Cricetulus griseus: one gene and its partners. The protein of the gene in region 3 interacts with the protein of the main gene of each other region in a pairwise test. Links are inferred from orthologs where the notes say so. Each region holds a gene or a part of one and is shown on either strand. Other genes may lie near its edges. The genes, in order: Trim63, Cdc37, Sqstm1, Snca and Rad23a.

The links.
Region 1: the proteins of Sqstm1 (region 3) and Trim63 interact in a two-hybrid assay, tested with the Homo sapiens proteins (2 studies listed by BioGRID and IntAct). The link is inferred for Cricetulus griseus from reciprocal best matches to the Homo sapiens genes SQSTM1 and TRIM63.
Region 2: the proteins of Sqstm1 (region 3) and Cdc37 interact in binary tests that used the Homo sapiens proteins (3 or more experiments, as listed by UniProt). The link is inferred for Cricetulus griseus from reciprocal best matches to the Homo sapiens genes SQSTM1 and CDC37.
Region 4: the proteins of Sqstm1 (region 3) and Snca interact in binary tests that used the Homo sapiens proteins (3 or more experiments, as listed by UniProt). The link is inferred for Cricetulus griseus from reciprocal best matches to the Homo sapiens genes SQSTM1 and SNCA.
Region 5: the proteins of Sqstm1 (region 3) and Rad23a interact in binary tests that used the Homo sapiens proteins (3 or more experiments, as listed by UniProt). The two-hybrid records come from large-scale screens. The link is inferred for Cricetulus griseus from reciprocal best matches to the Homo sapiens genes SQSTM1 and RAD23A.

Annotation. Positions count from the first base shown.
Region 1 is NC_048595.1:18,970,589-18,974,102, forward strand, and holds part of Trim63 (E3 ubiquitin-protein ligase TRIM63), read right to left. Parts: intron 1,845-3,514; coding exon 1,676-1,844; intron 782-1,675; coding exon 686-781; intron 1-685. UniProt on the Homo sapiens protein: E3 ubiquitin ligase. Mediates the ubiquitination and subsequent proteasomal degradation of CKM, GMEB1 and HIBADH.
Region 2 is NC_048597.1:134,007,017-134,011,247, forward strand, and holds the start of Cdc37 (hsp90 co-chaperone Cdc37), read right to left. Parts: upstream 2,802-4,231; 5' UTR 2,690-2,801; coding exon 2,588-2,689; intron 1-2,587. UniProt on the Homo sapiens protein: Co-chaperone that binds to numerous kinases and promotes their interaction with the Hsp90 complex, resulting in stabilization and promotion of their activity. Inhibits HSP90AA1 ATPase activity.
Region 3 is NC_048600.1:64,660,041-64,663,554, forward strand, and holds part of Sqstm1 (sequestosome-1), read right to left. Parts: intron 874-3,514; coding exon 653-873; intron 289-652; coding exon 93-288; intron 1-92. UniProt on the Homo sapiens protein: Molecular adapter required for selective macroautophagy (aggrephagy) by acting as a bridge between polyubiquitinated proteins and autophagosomes.
Region 4 is NC_048601.1:81,930,554-81,934,067, reverse strand, and holds part of Snca (alpha-synuclein), read right to left. Parts: intron 1,144-3,514; coding exon 1,001-1,143; intron 1-1,000. UniProt on the Homo sapiens protein: Neuronal protein that plays several roles in synaptic activity such as regulation of synaptic vesicle trafficking and subsequent neurotransmitter release.
Region 5 is NC_048596.1:159,529,356-159,533,529, reverse strand, and holds the start of Rad23a (UV excision repair protein RAD23 homolog A), read right to left. Parts: upstream 2,801-4,174; 5' UTR 1,400-2,800; coding exon 1,328-1,399; intron 1-1,327. UniProt on the Homo sapiens protein: Multiubiquitin chain receptor involved in modulation of proteasomal degradation. Binds to 'Lys-48'-linked polyubiquitin chains in a length-dependent manner and with a lower affinity to 'Lys-63'-linked polyubiquitin chains.

The DNA of each region.
Region 1 (3,514 bases), on a different chromosome or scaffold from region 3:
CACATGGTGGCTCAAAACCACATGTAACTCCAGTTCTGGGGGATCCAACTCCCTCTTCTGGCCTCCTCAGGCACTCACACACATGGCAAAACACCTGGCTGGGCTGTGGTGGTGCACGCCTTTAATCTCAGCGCTGAGGAGGCAGAGGCAGGTAGATCTCTGAGTCCCAGGCTGGCCTACAGGGCAAGTTCCAGGACAGGCTCCAAAGCTACAGAGAAACACTGTCTTGAAAAACCAAAACCAACAACAACAACAAAACCACCCATATACATTAAAAAATAATAATAAATGAAGAAGTGTGGAATCCCATTTCATTCCTGATCTACCGAATCAGAACCTGAGTTTCCACAGGCTCCAGGGTCAAGTGAACTTTTAAAGGTCCAGGAACCTTGCTCTGCAGCAAAATGATTGATGCTAGAGACATTCAGGGAGTTGGTGGGTCCCTGCAGTCAGGGACCAATTGGGTCTGGCTTGACCTTGGGCAGGGTCTGACATAACTGCTATGTTCATGAACTATTTGCCAAGTGAGTGGGGGAATGGCTGTGCCCTTTTTCTGCCATCTATATTGGACACCCAAGGCCCTAAACCCCAACCTAAACTCACAACTTAGGCCTTTCCCAGAGACCAGCTGCACTTGAGGTGTCCACTCTGCCTCAGCGCTGACAGGGCCACTCAGCACCCTCACCTTTGTCACTCGGCAGGAGTCCTCCAGCTGAGAAATGATAGTCTGCACTCGGTCATTCCCTGCCACCAGCATGGAGATGCAGTTACTCAGTTCAGTCTGAATGGGAGGGGTGAGAGAGGAGAGACAGAAATAGATTCAGAGCCGGCTGCTTCTCTGACAGAGTCACCAATAGGGTTGCTATCCCTCCTTCTGGGGTGCAGTTAAGGTCTAAAGTAGAGACTAATACAGATGCTATATCCTTTATGGACGGATGAGACCCAGAGAGAGAAACTGAGCACCCCAGAACACACAGCAAGATACTGACAAAGGAACAGAAGAAAACTTTCTTCTTCTTCTTCTTCTTCTTCTTCTTCTTCTTCTTCTTCTTCTTCTTCTTCTTCTTCTTCTTCTTTTCTGAGCTGGGGTCTTACTATGCTGGCCCAGAACTTACTATGTAGACCAGGTTGGCCTCAAATTCATAGAGATCCACCTGCCTCTGCCTCATGAGTGCTATGCTTAAAGGCCTGTGCTGTCTGTCATACCCCCTGGCTGCTAATTTCTGAGAAAAGGAATAGGATTGGAAAGTTCTAGAAGACAAAAGTCCAAGAGCCAAGTGGCATGTGGAGAACAGAGTTCAGGAAGGGCTACAGCTTACTACAGACACCATGCTGGGGTTGCCAGGGGCCCAGGGAAGAACCTCGACTTTGCCTTGTGCTACATGAGAGGCCCAAGTGGAGAGGTATGGGACCCCAGAGTACACAGGAGGGGAAGCCATGGCCTGGAAGGGCCTGGTGGCCTGTCCCTGGGGTCTGGCCTCTTCCCTATGGCCACACCCAGGTGTTCTCAAGTAGCTCTAAGTATAACCCATGAGCTCAGCCACCTCCCCCAGGGAGGCAACGGCTGCTGTCCCTGTGGCCTGGGAAGTCCCTCCAGAGGGACTATTCCTGAAAGGCCGGCTCAGCACATCCACAAGGGTCAAATCCATCTGGGCACAGTGTTTGTAGTCAATACCTTCTGTCCCTGGAAGATGTTTTGCAGCGGGGCTACCTCACAGGCCTGGTGGGCCCCGAACACCTTGCACAGGGAGCAAGTAGGCACCTCACACGTGAGGCAGTAGATGTTGATTTTCTCATCCTCGTGCTCCTTGCACATCGGGTGGCTGCCTTTCTGCAGGGGCCGACTGAGGGGGAGAAGAACCACAAGTTAGGGATGTCCCCTCTAACTGTCCCTTGCTAAATCCAAGAACAGGAAGCCACCACATCCACATGCCAGTTCCCAGTGTGTACCTGCTCCAAACAGTCTTTGTTTTATCTTCTGGGAGCCCAAGATCAGGGAGGCTAATGACACCAAACCTGGCTAATGACACCTAAACTCAGACTCCAGCATTAGGGCTGGCCTGAGTTGGTACAGGGAGCCCGGGGAGGGCCCCGGAATTCTAGAGTCAGACCAGAAGATGCTGACCTTAAGGAAGAGGCAACAGAGTCCCAGAAAATGAACAGACTTGCCCAAGGTCGCCCAGCACAGAGGCAGAGGAGGTTAGAACGCCTTTGCTCTAATTATAGCCCCATAGCTCTTGGTTGCTGGGCCTGGGCAACTTATTTTGATGGCAACCCTTATGTCTATATTTAATCTATCAGACCATAGCCTTCAACTAGGCTGGGAAGCCTGCTTGTTTTTCTCCCCTGCGTCTATAACGTACAGTACCTGGCGTGGAGACCGTGGAAATGAAATGCAAGGAGGAAGAATACACGAGTAAACACATCCTGAGGGTGTCCGAGGGTTAGGAGAAGGGGACAGTATGTACACCCTAAGCCAGACAAACAGCACATGGTTGGGGGCAGGGCTGTGTAGCAGCCCCGTGCAAAGCTTGACCTCATGGGGCCCATATATATCTAATATATATATATATATATATATATATATATATATTTCAAGACAGGGTTTCTTTGTAGCTTTGGAGCCTATCCTGGAACTAGCTCTTGTAGACCAGACTGTTCTCAAACTCACAGAGATCCTCCTGCTTCTGCCTCCCGAGTGCTGGGACTAAAGGAGTGAGCCACCACTGCCCGTCTTCTTTTTTATTTTTAAAAATGCCTTTATTGACTATGCGTGTATGCTGGGGTAAATGTTTGCACCACGTCACACGATGGAGGTCCGAGGACAGCTTGAAGGAGTTTGTTCTCTCCTTCTACCATATGGGTCCTGAGGGTAGAACTCGGGTTGACGGCTTGGCGGCAAGCACCTTTACCCACTGAGCCATCTTGCTGGCCTAAGTGTTTCTTCCTGCTGTCCTAGGACCTTTCTCCCTTTATTGCTTTTTCTGCTTAGGGTGCCTGGCATGCTCCTCTCTAGCATCAGTCTTTCCCAGCATCTACTCGGGTTTTAGTCAAGGTTTTACCTCCCAAGTGAGACAGAACTTGGCTCCATTCAGGGTAAGCAGCCATGTCTACACTACCTCTGATGCCAGCCCCTAACATGTAAGCATCTCCTAAACCTCAAACTGACTGTCCCCATCAGTATCAATGTCTCACCTCCCAGCAGCCCTGCATGGCTGTAGCACCCCAGACTTCACTGCCCCCTCCAGGAGCCCCTATCCAGGCTGGTTTTTGGTTTTGGCTTTGTTTTCATCTTTGAGCTCAGGGACCTCATACTGAGGTGGCTGTGATGGTGGGGGTTTCCCCGGTGCCACCTGCTGCTCTGCCCCAGGGTGTAAAACAAGATGGAGCAGACCTGCTGTTGAAACTCCCTCCCTCCCTGGCGGTCAGGTATCGGGGTCAAACACTTGCTTGATTTGTGTGATCTTACTCTTCAAGCCTCAGTGTCTCTCAGAGCTGTCCCAACCATGTCAGA
Region 2 (4,231 bases), on a different chromosome or scaffold from region 3:
AGCTTGCCTGGCAGGCAGTCATCCTAGGAAACTGGAAGGAATGGGTGTGTGAATTGGGTGGAGGACAGACACTAATTTGGGGGAGACAGGGAGGACCTTCTAGGAGCTTCCAGATAAATGAGCAGGAGCTGCCCTCAGGAAGATGGGGTGCAAAATTCCTAACCAGAAAGTACCTGCCCTAAGCTTGAGAGTATAACAAACTCAGGGTCCAATGAGAGGGCTCGGTGGGTAAAGGTCTGCCACCAAGCCTGAAAACCTGAGTTTGATCCCCAGAACCCACATGGCAGGAGAAAACAGATTCCACCAAGTTATCCTCCGTGGACTACACATGTACATTTACACATACAGGAGTGTATACACAAATGAATAAAATACAATTTAAGCACAGGGTATAGCACACAGGTAGGTGGATATAGATGCTGTGATTTGGGAGAGCAGGTTAGACCCTTGTCTCTTTACTGTTGTGCTATGGATGGAGCCCAGGACCTCCTGCATGCCACACAAGAGCTCTATCACTAAACCACATCTCCAGACCACCCTTAGATCTTGGTAGTACACTACTGTCCCGTGGTCAATGCCGGGCAGAAGAGGGGTGGAAAACCATGGCTCAAACACACGGGATTCTAAGGTCTGAATCTGGGGGACTCTGTTCTGGACAGATGTAAAAAAATGTGTAGGATTTTATTTTATTTGCTTGGGTGTTGACAGGATCCCATGTGGTCCATGCCAGCCTCAAGCTTACTATGTGGCTGAAGGCTTTGAACTTCTGACTTTCCTGTTCCCATCTCCACAGTGCTGGGACTACAGGCCTGTCCCACCATGGCTAGCTTTTAAGCACTGCTGGAGACACAGTGCAAGGCAATGACACACAACTGAGCACCAGCCTATTTGGTTTTTGAGACAGTGTTTCATGTAGTTCAAGCTGGCCTAGAATTTAACATGTAGCAAGGATTGACTGAATTTCTCATCCTCCTACTTCTACCTCCCAAGACCTGAGTTTAAAGGTATGTGGCATCATGCTCAGGAAGTAAGGTGATGTTGGGATAAGATCCAGGAGATTCCCCCAGTTAAGTAGGATGATTTGAACACTGCAGAGAAGCCAAGGAGGCTGCAGGGGAAAGGGTGGGAAGGATAGAATAGGTTTGGGGTTCTGAGCTCAGGTTTGGTGAGTTTCTTTCTTTCTGTTTTTTGTTTGTTTGTTTTTCAAGTCAGGGTTTCTCTGTGTAGTCCTGGCTGTCCTGGAATTCTCTCTGTAAACAAGGCTGACCTGGAACTCACAGGCCTGCCTGTGCCTCCCTAGTGCTGGGATTAAAGGCGTGTACCACCACTGCCCGGCTCCTATTTTGGTGAGTATTCAATGATGGCCAAAGTTCATACAGGAGCCAGGGACAGGATGGGGGTCTACTTACTATAAAGGAGCAGGCAGAGGTTCTGGACGGAAGTTAAGTGGGTAGGGTTTCCTGGAATAAGGGGAAAAGCGTCTACAGGAGGCAAGAGTAAGGGAAGCCACAGGGCAGCAGTGGAGCTGGAGGCCACATGGAGAGAAGTCCTAGGTGGGACTGAAGTCCCCAGTGGGATTCTGGTCTGTACTCCAGGGAAAGGGACCCTGGGTTGTGGAATCCCAGCGGAAAGCTAAGATCGGGAAATTAAGTGTAAGACACAGTTCTCATTCAGTTTGGGAGTTGGGGGCAGGGTATCTCTGGGCCTTAATGTAAATTTGTGCTTAAGATCCTGGGAAGTAGATGCCCCAATCAAATCAAAAGTATCGTGGACCCAGACTCCAGGGGCTGAGAAGAGGCAGAAGGGAGGTGTTCAATCAGCAGTGGGCACATGGCTAGAACAAGGGAGAGCCTAACAGAATCTGAGTTCTGGACTCCGAGAAAGAATTCTGAGGAGAAAAAAAGGTTCCATACAGGATGATGGGGACCCCTACTCACAAGGGCCGGCGTTTGGAGAGTCTAGACTCTGATGAAAGTATTAGGAGTTGATAAGAAGATTCAGTGTGTATAGGAGGTGCTTGTGGCAAATTGGGGTGACCTAAGTTCCATGCCCAGTTCCAACGTGGTGAAAGGAGAGGCCTGACTTCTGTTAACTGTCCTTTAATCTACAGATACAAGCTGTGCCACGAGCACACAAGACACACCACTACAAGTAAACTAACAAACAAATGTACAAATAAAATAAAAGAGATAGCAGCGGGGAAAGCCCAGAGATGACCGTGGAGAGTTAGGAAGCCCAGTGATCCTGAAGTCCTGGGATGGAATTTAACAGTCCAGGCCACATGACGGTATACACCTTTAATCCCAGCACTGGGAAGGCAGAGGCAGGCGGATCTCTGTGAGTTAGTGGCCAGCCTGGTCTACATAGCAAGTTCCAGGCCAGGCAAGGCTATAGTGAGATCCTGGTTCGATTTTTTTTAAAAAATAAGAGAGACAGAAAGTTCAGATTGTGGAATAGGAGGCTCCCGATGTCAATAACTGAGTTTCCCCCGACCCGCCCGAACCAGGGCGGCCAGGGTAAGAGGTCAGAACTCTAGAGCGGGGGGTCCCGGGAGTGGGGGGAAGGGGATGCGCGCGCACAGCCCCACCTGGTGCCGCCAGCGGAAGAGGCTGGCCGTGTCGATGTTGGGGTGCGTCTCGTCCTCATCGTCCGACACCTCGATGTGATCCCAAACGCTGTAGTCCACCATCTTCGCCTAGGAGGCCCGGATTGGCTCCCGGCGCTCCACACGGCCGGGCGCTGAACAGGGACCCACAAGGGATAGAGAGTCCGCTCGCGGAGCCCCGCCCCTTCCGCTTCCGCTCACGGCGCCGCGCACGACGGCCCCGCCCCAGCATCCGCGCGTGACGTCACGTCCTTAGCAACGGGACTCGGCGGCACTGACGACCGGAGGTGATTCTTAAAGGGCCAGGCTCACGTTGTTCAGCCTTCTGGGAGTTCCCGCCGAAACCCAACCGAGCATCCCCTGGGGACAAAAAAGGTAGTTGCCTAGGGGTTGTCGGCCCACGGTAGTCCCAGCACTTGGAAAGCAAAGTCAGGCCACTCTCAGCGAGTTCTAGGCAGGCCTGATCGACACAGTTCCAGGCCAGCCAGGGCTCCGCAGTGAGATTCTGTCTCAAAAAAATCAAAATTGAGCCGGGCGTTGGTGGCGCACGCCTTTAATCCCAGCACTCGGGAGACAGAAGCAGGCGGATCTCTGTGAGTTTGAGGCCAGCCTGGTCTACAAGAGCGAGTGCCAGGACAGGCTCCAAAGCCACAGAGAAACTCTGTCTCGAAAAACCAAAAAGAAACGCCTTATATCCCAACACTCAGGAGGCAGAGGCAGGTCTATAAATCGAGTGCCAGGACTGTTACACAGAGAAACCCTGTATTGAAAAACAAAACAAACAGAAAAGAGTGAAATTTTGCGGTTTTTTTTAGGGGTGGGGTGGGAGTTGAGACAGGGTTTCAACAGCTGCAACAGCTCTGGCTGTTCTGTAACTAGCTCTGTAGTCCAGGCTGGCCTGGAATGAGTTGAGATCCACCTGCCTCTGCCCCCACCAGTACTGGGATTAAAGGCGAGCACCACCAGTGCCCGACAGATTTTTACTTTTCTTAAGATTTATTTACTTACTTATTGTGTTTACAACATTCTGCCTGCTTGTATGCCTGCACAGCAGAAGAGAGCACCAGATCTCATTACAGATGGTTGTGAGCCACCATGTGGTTGCTGGGAATTGAACTCAGGACCTCTGGAAGAGTAGTTAGTGTTCTTAACCTCTGAGCCATCTCTCCAGCCCCGATTTTTACTCTTAAAAAAAATTTTTTTTTTCAAGACAGGGTCTCACTATGTAGCCCTGGCTGTCCTCGAACTCACTATGTAGACTGAGCTGGCCTTGAACTCACAGATCTCCTTGCTTCTGCCTCCCAATGCTGGTATTGAAATCATGCTCCACTACACTGGGTCTGCCCTTAAAATTTATTTTTTTAAATTACATTTCAGGGGCTGAAGAGATGGCTTAGCAGTTAAGAGCATTGGCTGCTGTTCCAGATGACACAGGTTCAATTTCCAACACCCACATAGCAGTCCATAACTGTCTGTAACTCCAGCTCCAGATGTTTTATTTTATTTTTTGGTTTTTTGAGACAGGGTTTCTCTGTGGCTTTGGAGGCTGTCCTGGAACTAGCTCTTGTAGACCAGGCTGGTCTTGAACTCACAGAGATCTGCCTGCCTCTGCCTTCCTGAGTGCTG
Region 3 (3,514 bases):
GGCCATGCTACCCCATTTTGTGTTACCAAAACCAGACTTGGGCTAGGATACTCTGAAAGCAAAGGAAAATGAAACTTCTGGTGACCACATGCCTGGTGGGAGATGTGGGTACAAGGCAGCTTCCTTCAGCCCTGTGGGTCCTTCCTGTGAGGGGTCTAGAGAGCTTGGCCCTTCTGATTCCGGCATCTGTAGAGACTGGAGTTCACCTGTGGACGGGTCCACTTCTTTGGAAGACAAATGTGTCCAGTCATCATCTCCTCCTGAGCAGTTATCAGACTCCATCTGTTCCTAGAATACAACCTGCTGTGAGCACAGGGGTCTAAGTGACTGACCAGTGGGACCCCACGATCTGTTCCCAGCAAAGTATGGCAAAGAGAGCTGCCTGCAAAGGACATGTCTGTCTGATTTTTTTCCCGTAACGATAGGGGTTGAACCGAGGACCTCATGTATATCAGGTAAATGCCTCATAATGAGTTACCGCTCCAGATCCAAGAAAGTCTTTCTCAACAGAGTTCTGTTTGAAGGCTCAGAGTGACTGGAGACACCACAGGGATAACAGGAAGGACAGGATCCCTCTGGCTGCAGAATGGCTTGGGCTGAAGCCAAGATGCCAAGCAGGTCAGTTAAAGCTAGTGGGAGAAAGCAGACCTACCTCTGGCTGTCCCACTGACTCCAAGGCGATCTTTTTCATTTGCTCTGTCAGGGACTGTGAAGTGCCTTCGCCTGCCTCGTCAGGCTTGTTAACCTCTGATGAGCAGCTACTTGGCTGAGTGCTGCACTTGTCTTCTGTGTCCATGCTGGAACTTTCTGGGGAGGTGGGTGTCAGGCGGCTTCTCTTCCCTCCATGTTCCACATCAATGTCAACCTCAATGCCTAGAGCAGGAGGAGGAATCAAGCTGTCAAGTCCAGAGGCCTCCCCTGCCTGTGACATCAGTGACTCGGTGAGTTGGGCACTGTGGACTTAGGAAGTGCTTCAGACTTAGTCCCTCACAGCACATATGGATTGGGACACTGGCAGTCAGCATAAGGATGCAGAGGCTAGACTCAACCTCAGGGCCACATAACCATGTAACCATGTGACAACCCCCATGGGCCAGCTGAGCTCCTCCTTCCAACCCAAACTTGCTAACAAGCCTATCACATTGGTCCTTTCCCTTCCCCTAACCCACAAAGTCCCCAGAGGGAACTTTCTCCCAACCCAGTAGGAAAGCAGGCTGCAGGAGGGCTAGTACTATACATGGGCAGAACACCTAACCATGATTGCTGGATGCCACAACACACAGGATCTCATGATGCGACAATTACACACCTGAACTCCAAGTTTCAGTTCCGTGTGTGGCCAGTCTACCAGCCTGCTCATGTCTGGTGGGGGAATAAGGACAGGCAGCTTCACCTGTGCTGCTCACAAACTAAATGTACCAAGGACAACACACACACAGCTTTAACAGTTCCTTCCCACTCTCCAGAATCCCCCACTTTCAGCCCCCACATCTGTTTATTTCCTACTGTGTCAGTATTTACCTCCCCTTTCCCTGTTCTTTTAAGAGCTACCTTTGACTGAAAAAAAAAACAAAACAAAAAACACTACTAACGTGCTATGTAAATGTTGCTGTGCACAGGGCTGTATGTCCTCTCTATTGTCAAGGGTCTCTCTCTCCTTTTGTTTGCTAACTTCTTGTTTCTTCTCCAGAGTCTTTCATTTTCTGTGGTTCAGGGCTCTCAGTCGCCCATCAGGTCTGGCTTTTGGAGAGCACCTTCAGTGGCCAAGGCCCTCCTCTAAGTTGTCAATGCACATGGGATTTCCCCCTAGTATTTTCTAGCAAAGGTCAGCTAAATTCTCACGGATGGAATCCCCAGAGGGCTGACTGTATTCATTTGAGATAGTCTCTGAACCTAAGCCTTCCTTCTATCACTCAGCTTTTTTTAAAAAAATAGTAACATTAATTTTTATGTGGGTGTTTTCCCTGTATATATGTATCTGTGCACCTGTGTGCTTGGTGCCCATGAAGGTCAGAACAGAACAACAGATCCCCTGGAAATGGAGTTACAGACAGTTGTGAGCCACCATGTGGGTGTTGGGAGTTGAACCTGACCTCTGCAGAAGTACCAGTGCTGTTAACTACTAAGTCACCTCCAGCCCCCTCACTCAGTGTTAGCACTTTCTTGTTGTTTCCTTTGCTACATTTTTTATGGCACCTGCTTTCTCATAAATCCAGTACTTTTCTGTCCTCATCCTAGCACACTTTCCCAGGTTCGGAGGCTTTCCTCAATGGCCAGCCATCCCAGAGGCACTGGCAAGAAGCTCCGCCTGCAGGACCAGGGCAGTTGCCAGCTTCACATATGCCGATGTCCAGAGACAGGCATCAGTGAAACCCAGGTCCCAGGAGCTGGTGTTCTTTGCCAGGGTGTTTGGCTGGCCTCCCCTCAGCAGGACTCTTCAGCTGTTGTCAGGCCAGTGGGGCTGAAATGCTAGGCCCCTTGTTCCCCTGCTCACTCCTGATGCCCACTTCTAGGCTGGTGCCTTAGCTTATGTGGCAGAAGCTTCTCAGAGAGAGGCACTTCAAGTACTGAACATGAAAGTGCTGGGTGGAGCCTGGAGCTCTCTAACTCTCTTATGAAAGGTCTTCTAGCTGCTTTCTTGTGCCTTGGCCTGTCGCTCCCTCTCACCCTTAATGGTACCAGTCCAGTGGGGATTGTTTTGTTTTTTGACACAGGTTTCTCACTATGTAGCTCTGGATAGCCTGGAATTTCCTATGTAAAACAGGCTGTCCTTGAACTCAGAGCTCTGCCTAACCATTTTCCTGGTGCTGGTACTAAAGGCATGTGCCATCATGTCTTGCTTCTTACAAGGGTTCCCTGTGCAGCCGCCTCTCTCTGTGGGTTACTCCCTGCCCTCCATTTCATCTTTTTTTTTTTATTTTTTACATTTATATGTGTGTGGAGGTCAGAGGAAAACCTTCAGGAGTCCGTTCTACCCTACCATGTGGGTAGAGTGCATGCCAACCACAAACACAGCTCTGGGTTCAATCTCCAGAACCATACACATAGATGGTTCAAGCAAACCGAAAAGTCCCTTGAGCCCCATCCCCAACATCCACACCCCATTTTTTCTAAGCAGGTGCAGGACAGGATCAAAAAGATGTTGAATTGGGGGTTTCTCAATGGAATAATGAAACCCCAAGACTGAAGGGCTCACAAATAATGTTTGATGGTCTGTGGCCTGCTGTCCCCAAAGCCTGTGTTTGTCAAAGACCCAGTAACAAGGAAGGACCTGCTACTTTGTATTGTAGGTGTCAGTGACCACAGCCTCTGAGCCAAACACAGTACTGGTCCACAGTAGCAGCCTTCCTTGGCTGGTTCTCACAGAACTTACCAATAAAAGGCCTTGGCTCTGGCTCACCCCAAACCTCTGCCTTCTGAGAGACTGTGCCAACTCCTTTCCCTCTGGGCCTCTGCTAACACAATCCATTAGAGGCAGTTAGCATGTGAGTCATCCCCTGCTTAGTTCCTCAGA
Region 4 (3,514 bases), on a different chromosome or scaffold from region 3:
AAATAAGGATTGGTATTTTTTAAAGGTACAAAACAAGCCCAAGTTGACATAAAGTGTTTTTAATGACCCATTTGTGATTTATATTGCAAATTTTAAATGCAAGCTAAGTGGGAAATAAATGAGACATGATTCCCAGCCTTTCTATATCCAAAGCAACAAATTCTTCCACTAACTTTAGTATTGCATAATTCAATCTACACATCAGAGGAAGCTGTGTGTTGGATATGGCTAGGGAAGTGACAGTTCAGATAGATGTGTGTAGGGTCATCCAGGTAACTCCAACAGGCTACAGGAAAATGATGCTCACTTCCCCGCTGTGAATTCTGCATTCCTCATTGTAAAATCAAGAAATAGTTTTAAGCTGATGTTCTGTTGATGGCCTTCTTTTTATATTTGTCCTTTAGTACATGATCATGTATTTTTCTGGTAAGAGACTCCATTTTTATACCTAGAATATGTCACTAGAGCCCTTTATTTATCCAGAAGCCAATTTAAAATTCTAGAAATGTAAGAGTCACCATATGAAACCATGATCTGTGTTTGGTATGTACTTTAAGTCTCTCAGTTTTCAAAAGCATATATTTGGTAAGGAATTGATATTTGATATGCAAATATGTCATATAATAAGAGATTGGATCATTACAAAGAAATCAAATAAAAGATCTTCTTTCTGGAAATTTAGGAATTAGACAGAGAAACAAATTGCTATTTCCACAAAGAGGAATTCCAGACCCATCATCCATATGAAAGCAGCCATTCTTTCTGAAATGTCACCAATTCTTCAGCACTTACTGTACTGTTCACTTCTGTAGCTTTCTTTCAGAAATTCAAACAATCAAGGATATTGTACAATGTGCATGACATTTTCCATAGCATGTCAAAATAAGAGCCCTATAAAAGTGCAATCCTTCCCCCCAGTGCGCATCCAATGGCTGCTTTCTGATACCTGTAAGGAATCTTGGTGTACTTGGTTTATCATTGTACAAATCAGCAGCCTTACCTTGCCCAGCTGGTCCTTCTTGACGAAACCAGTGGCAGCAGCAATGTTCCCTGCTCCCTCCACTGTCTTCTGGGCAACTGCTGTCACACCAGTCACCACTGCCCCTCCAACATTTGTCACTTGCTCTTTGGTCTTCTCAGCCACTTAAGAAAATCAAGAGCAACAACATTAAAAGATAGTGGTGTGGCAGACCTTAATTCTGCTTCCAATAGCTGTCAACTTCTACATACACCCATGCCATAGATAGCAAGAGTCTGAAGAAACAAGACACCAAGGGAGAACCAACAGGGTGCAGCCAAACACTGGGTCTGTGTTACAATTATGTATAGACTAGAAAATCTTGAGAGTTTAGTTATAACACAATGCAAACAAGATTTGGTTTGCCTTGAGGCACATAGACAGAAAACAAGGCACTAGGTACAGTATTAAGTTGTCAGACTCTTTGAGCACTATTTCAGTTTCGATGCCAACTATTTGATCTCATTTACAAAGTTCACTTCCATTATCTGCTCAAAGTACATGCCTCTCCCACATCTAGATTCACTGTTTTCTATGTACAAAATTCAAAATGTTCCTAAATCTTTCACTTTCACGTACCACCAATTCGTACCACCAGCAGAAAATTTCAACCATAAACTTTGTTGCATGTTCAGAATTATTCTAAAATAGAATATGAAATTGCCCTCAGATAATATGTACAGGTATATATAGTATAAGTGAATTTCATGTTTAGACTTGCGTCCTATTACCAAGACAACTCATTATAAGTGTGCATTTATCCCCAAATCAAAAATAATTGAAATCTAAAGCAAGTGTTCCTTAAGCACCTCTGATAAGGAGGCCCTATGTGTTCAAACATGCTCCTAGAATGATTTGGAAATAGGTGATAGAAAAAGACATGGTAAAGAAAAAGATAGTTATTTTAAAAGATTATTTTTAATTATGTGTACTTGTGTCTCTTGGGGCAGTTATGTGCACATGTGTGCAGGTGCACAAGGATGCCAGATAGTGTTGTCAGATCCCCTGGGGCTGGAATTACGGGACAATGAAGGTCTCCCAGCATGGGTGCTGAGAACATAATTCTGATCCTATGGAAGAGGAGCAAGTGTTCTTCACACTGAGCTATCCCTCCAGCCAAACAAAAATGTTAAGACAAAATTTCAGTTAATGCAAATCAAATGTATTTCCATTAACTCCATAGTTCCATGCAAGGAGTGAAAGACATGAGAGCCCACTTTTTAAATAATACTAAGTGAAAAAGTAAAAGAACCTGTCTGCACCTGAACCTCTAAATCCTATATCCACAAAGGCAAATGTCTCCCAACTCTCATTCGAATGGATGTCATGTTTGCCTTTCATTTACTCTACAATTTTTTTTTATTTTGCCCCATATATCAGCATTAGGTTGTTGAGTCCCCACTCCTCCTGTGTTTTCTCTCTTGAGCAAAAAAGCATGTTCTTCTTCAGGATCTCCTGAGAAGCCTGTATCCTCGTAGCCTGAGCTGAGGAATCACACCACATCAACTGTTCACATGGTTACTGCACTATACAGATTTCATGTCATCAGCCAGAAAGACAAATAATCCAATAATGTGGACAATGAAAATTAATTCGGAAGGAACAAGTTGTGAAATGAAGTTTAGTTGGCTTGTAAAGTCACAGCTGACCCCTTAGACCAAGCAGTGTGGGGAAGCCTGAAGGTCACTCAGACTGCAACCAGAATTCACATAGGTGACTCTATAGCTGCCTTTCAGGTTTGAGCTAAGTCTGCCTATGGAATCCCTGCCCCTCAGTGTGCTACTTGAAGAGCACTGGATATTCACAGTAATTTTAAAGGCCAGAGCAGAGCTATATTAGAAAAATTGATTTTAAACAGCACTGGAATTATACTGAACTCTGTTTCAGCTTGTTACTTTTTCTTCCAAGAATATGATTTAAAAATTTGCTTGAGATTAACATTTTCTTGTTAAAACATCTCAAAGCAAGACAAAATAGGCTTTGCCTTTTTACATCCTCATGTTTTCTGCCAACCATAAACTTTACTTAATGTGCACACTTCTTTATATAAATATAAACTTTAATCTGTTATTTTTAAAACACAAAAATTGTACAGTAAGTATAATTTATACGTGATTTCCATTTTACTGTTTTATAAAAATAATAAAGAACATTATAAAATGACAGAATATGGTAGTATAATAATAGCTATGGCTAAAAAGATAAAATTATAAACATCTGTAGGAATATATTCTGTCTTTAAGGTTTACAGTTTATCTACTCATTGGCACTGCCTTAAAAAACAAAAGGAAACAAACCTTTTAGTGCTCTGTCTGTTTAATAAATGACTTCTATTTTGTGGTTAAAGATGTTATAATAATGATCAAAAGAGAATTTAGCTACTATCTTAGTTAGGGTTTCTACTGCTGTGATGAAACAGTATGACCGTAAAGCAAGTTGGGGAAGAAAGGGTTTTATTCAGATTATACTTCCACATTGCTGTTCATCACCAAAGGA
Region 5 (4,174 bases), on a different chromosome or scaffold from region 3:
CCAGGACTATATAGTGAAACTGTCTCAGATAAAATAAAGACACCTTTCCTGACCCTTTTACCTTAGGGGAAAAGCTTTGCTCTCAATCATAAGAGACTCCTACTCAATGTGGCCAGTCGACAGCAATCTATTACAGGCCAGACACTTATGCTGCTCGTTGTGTGTGTATGTGCGTGTGATTGTGGTGGCCTAATTGTTCTACAAGAGCTCCATCCCAAACCCTGTTTTACAACAGCCTGTGGAACAGAACAAAACAGAATTCAGTCACTGTTCTCATGGAGAAGACCTTGATGTGAGAAAAAAAGCAAACTTGTATTTCAGATGTCATGTTGTTGAGAAGGGAAACAGTAAAAAGGAAATGAAAGGGTATACCCACTGCTGGCCACAAAAAGTTAACTGTTCTGTAATTATTGAGGAAATCCTTTACCCCCTCCTTTTTTGAAATGGTCTTATTCTGCACTCCAGGCTGGCCTAACTACATAGCTCAGGCTGGTCTGGAACTTAAAACAATCCCCATCTTGGCCTCAGTGTTCAGGGATTATAGACATGACCACTATGCCTAGACTTCACTAAGGGTATAGCAGTGGCTTCATAGTATATTTGAGAAGATTCAGGGGAGGTGGCTCAAACAATAGTATCACCTACTTGGGAGGCTAAGGCAATACCTATCACTTGGGCCCAGAAATTCAAAGCAGCACTGGACAACAAAACAAGACCTCACTCTCAAAAAGCAAAAGCAAACAAAGTTCATGCAGCAAGTTTAGGCTGCTGTCTGTTACATAAAACAAAACAACAAAAAAAAAATTAATCCCGTCTCTTCCATTACTTGCTGTGACCATGGCAAACTTCCTTAACTCTGAGGTTGTCAAACGGGGAAAGTTAGGAGTCCCCAAAGGACAACACTATTTTGCAGATTCAGCAAGACGACACTGGCAAAGAATAAACGGCCAACAAACACGGACCACCAAAACTATTAAGATTAAGACCATTTATTATTATCAACATTGTTGTCACCAGTTGGCACCTCTTGGCCACTGACGCCAAACGTGGTCACCCGAGCGGCTTGCAGGCTGGGAATGCGGAGTCGGCAGCTGGCACAGGAGCGGGACTGGGGACTCGCCCTGGGGCCAACCCGGGAAGGGCGCCTGAGCCCCGGGGCAGGGCAGGGGCGATGGGAAGGGGGGTGCGAGGAGGTCGGGTCGCTGGGAAAGGGCAGCAGGGCCCGGCCGCAAGTCCTCCCCGCCCCTCCCGTTGGATCCGGGCCTCCCTGCCCCCACCCACCCCGACCGACAGCCGGTCGCTCCCGCCCCCGGGCTCCGGCCCGCACCGTCTCCTCAGGCTCCATGCGTATCTTGAAGGTCTGCTGCTGCAACGTTTTAAGCGTGACGGTGATGGCCATGGCGGGGCCGGAGCAATGCGGCAGCCCCAGGATCCTCGTACAACATGCAACTCACGCCGCCGCCATCTTAGCGCCCAGCTGTGCCGTAGGGAAAGCACTTCCGGGACAAGAGGGAAGCGCGCGCAAATCGTCAGTGTATATGACCCGCCTGTGACCCCCTCGACCTCTAGAGCATGCGCGGCAACGCTTCCTTACCTTAGACATGCGCAAACTCAGCTTTGAGCTTTTGCTGTGGGAACAGACATCATAGGGTCTGGGTGATGTCATGCCTAATAGTGATGTCATATGCCTGTAAAATGGCTTCTGAGCTACCCCCCTTCCACCTCCAAGTTTTTAAGGTATTTGTTATAGGATTATTGACCTATTTCGGACATGGCAAAAATTTAAAAAATCCCACAGAGCACTGTTAATTACTCAAGCCTAGAAGAAAGTGAAGTTACTATAAATCTCAAAGGTAAAAATGGTAACTTATGTGGCTCCATTTTCAAGACTATCATCACTTTTGGAATAAGCTTTGACTTCTAGTTCATGGGTCCCCTACCTCTTCATGGTCCTGCAATAACTATTAAACACCTCAAAAGTATTAATATGTGCAAGGCTCCTTTGTATTAAATACTTCATTCTTCCTCCCATAGACTTTCCTTGCTTGCACCTATTTTTCTGGGAGGTAAGGGGTATTACAAGCCTTAGGTTACCACCACATACTAAAAGGTAATGAAATGTCAGACTTGGGAAGCTGGGGCATCTTGAGGGTGACTTAAGAAGCTAAAGTTCTCAGTAAATACAACATAGGCATCAACACTTAATACTCACTACTTTGGAGCTTGCTTTGCCATATTTCTAGCCACACCAGTGACAAAGCACTTGCCAAAGGCCTGCCTCCCTCTGGTCACCTGAGCAAGGTTCTGCCAAGGGCGAATCAGTTTCCTTCTAATAACACAGGCCTCCTGCCCACCTTCCAACCTACTCAGTGGAGCTTAAAATGGAAACCTTGAGACCCCATCAGTCACCCGAATCCCATTTTCTTTTTTTTCCTGTGGTAGGGCATGCCAGGTAAGCCATCTCCAACGGAACACAACCCAATCTTTAAACCAATCCCTTTTCTATCAGCTTAGTCCTAGAAATATTGGCCGCTGGGTTAAGCCACTCACTATCTTTGACTTTAGTTCTTTGACTATAAAATGAGCTACCAGCATTTACTCCACTAATGTGAGGTTTGAATTTGCCCAACTATCTTATGTAGTAGTTTCAGAAAGGAAACCAACAATAGATGGTTAAGATTAAGGTTCAAATATCCGCCCCAGTAGTCAGCACCAGGCTGTCAATCACATGTCTGTTGCCAGGACAAGGGAATTACTACAGGGAGACCTGGCATCAAAACCTGACAGCTGCGTTCCTACTTAAGATTACAGGATACATATCATATGCAGCCATGTCACTTTGTTGGACTCCGCCAACTCCAATAGCTCAAACATGAGCCACCAGCACCTCAAAAGGCCACCTTTGATTCCCTGACGTAATCCTCCCAGAGAAGGAGACACGATAGGGAAGACACAAAACTTAATTTAATAGAAATTTTGTTTGTAGTTCTTACACTCTCAGTGTGAGCTGTGCTAGAACTGGCTGCCCCACAAGTGGCCCAGTCCTGGGGGCAAGGGAGAACGGGGATGAGAAGACCCCCATTCTTCCTCAGTGCTGGGGGAGGGATACACCACCCCCTTCTCCTGCACTCCTCTGAGATCCAAGAAGGAGAGCAGATGAAATCTCAAGCCTAGGACTTTTCCTCCACACCCGTTCCTGAAGTTGGGAGGGTTGTGACCAGGGGTTGGATAGAGAAAAGGGACATAGGGAAAGATGTTGATTCAAAATGAGAAGCCAGGAGGTTGAGGGCTAAAGGAGAATTAAGACAAACACCAGTAAAAAAAGAAAAAAATGGGAGGGGGGAGGTTGGGGGGAGGCAGGGAAACAAAATCAGAATTCACCCCAGATCTGAACCTGCCTGGAAAAAACTGAAAAGTTCCTGAGTCTCATAGAGACATTATTGGGAGCAGCCAGCTCTGCAGTGGGGTGTTCAGGCCTCAGTCCAGCCCTGGAGGCAGGTGGTATGGCCTCTACAGCTCATCCTTGGTCTGGCCAGGGGTAGTATCCTCCTCATCTTCCTCCTTCTCATCCTCATCTTCTTCATCTTCATCTCTGTCATCCTCATCCTCTTTGTCCTCAGCCTCTTCCTCCTCTTTACGCTTCTTGTCTTCTTCTTCTTCCTTCAGCCTCTGCTCCTCATCCTGCTTGTCCTTCATCTGCTTTTCTGAAGCCTGTGGCACAGACACCTTTTAGTACCTGGCTTTTGCCTGCCTGCCTGTTCTCCCAGTTGACCCCCAGTGAAGCAGGAACCCAGCTCACCTTGGTGACACCCCATGTCTCATTGCCAAACTCCTCTGCATAGGCTTCATCATTGGTGATGAGAAAGTTGTCAAAGATTGTGCCAGACTTGACCTGGGGAAGAATGGAAAGACATATGGTCAGCAGTAACTTCTGACAGCCCTGGCTCTGGACAGGACTCTACTTCCACCCTGTAGGGCAGCAGGTGTGGTGGCAGGACATGCCTTTAACCCCAGCACTGAGGAAGCAGACCACTTGTGGGGTTCTAAGCCAGCCAGTGTTACACAGTGAAACTCTTGTCAAAACTTTTTTTAAAAAGGGAGGGAGGGACAGGTATGTTGATGCAGTGGGAAGGCAAGAAGGGAATCCCAGGCCAGACCTGGATATATGGTGAAT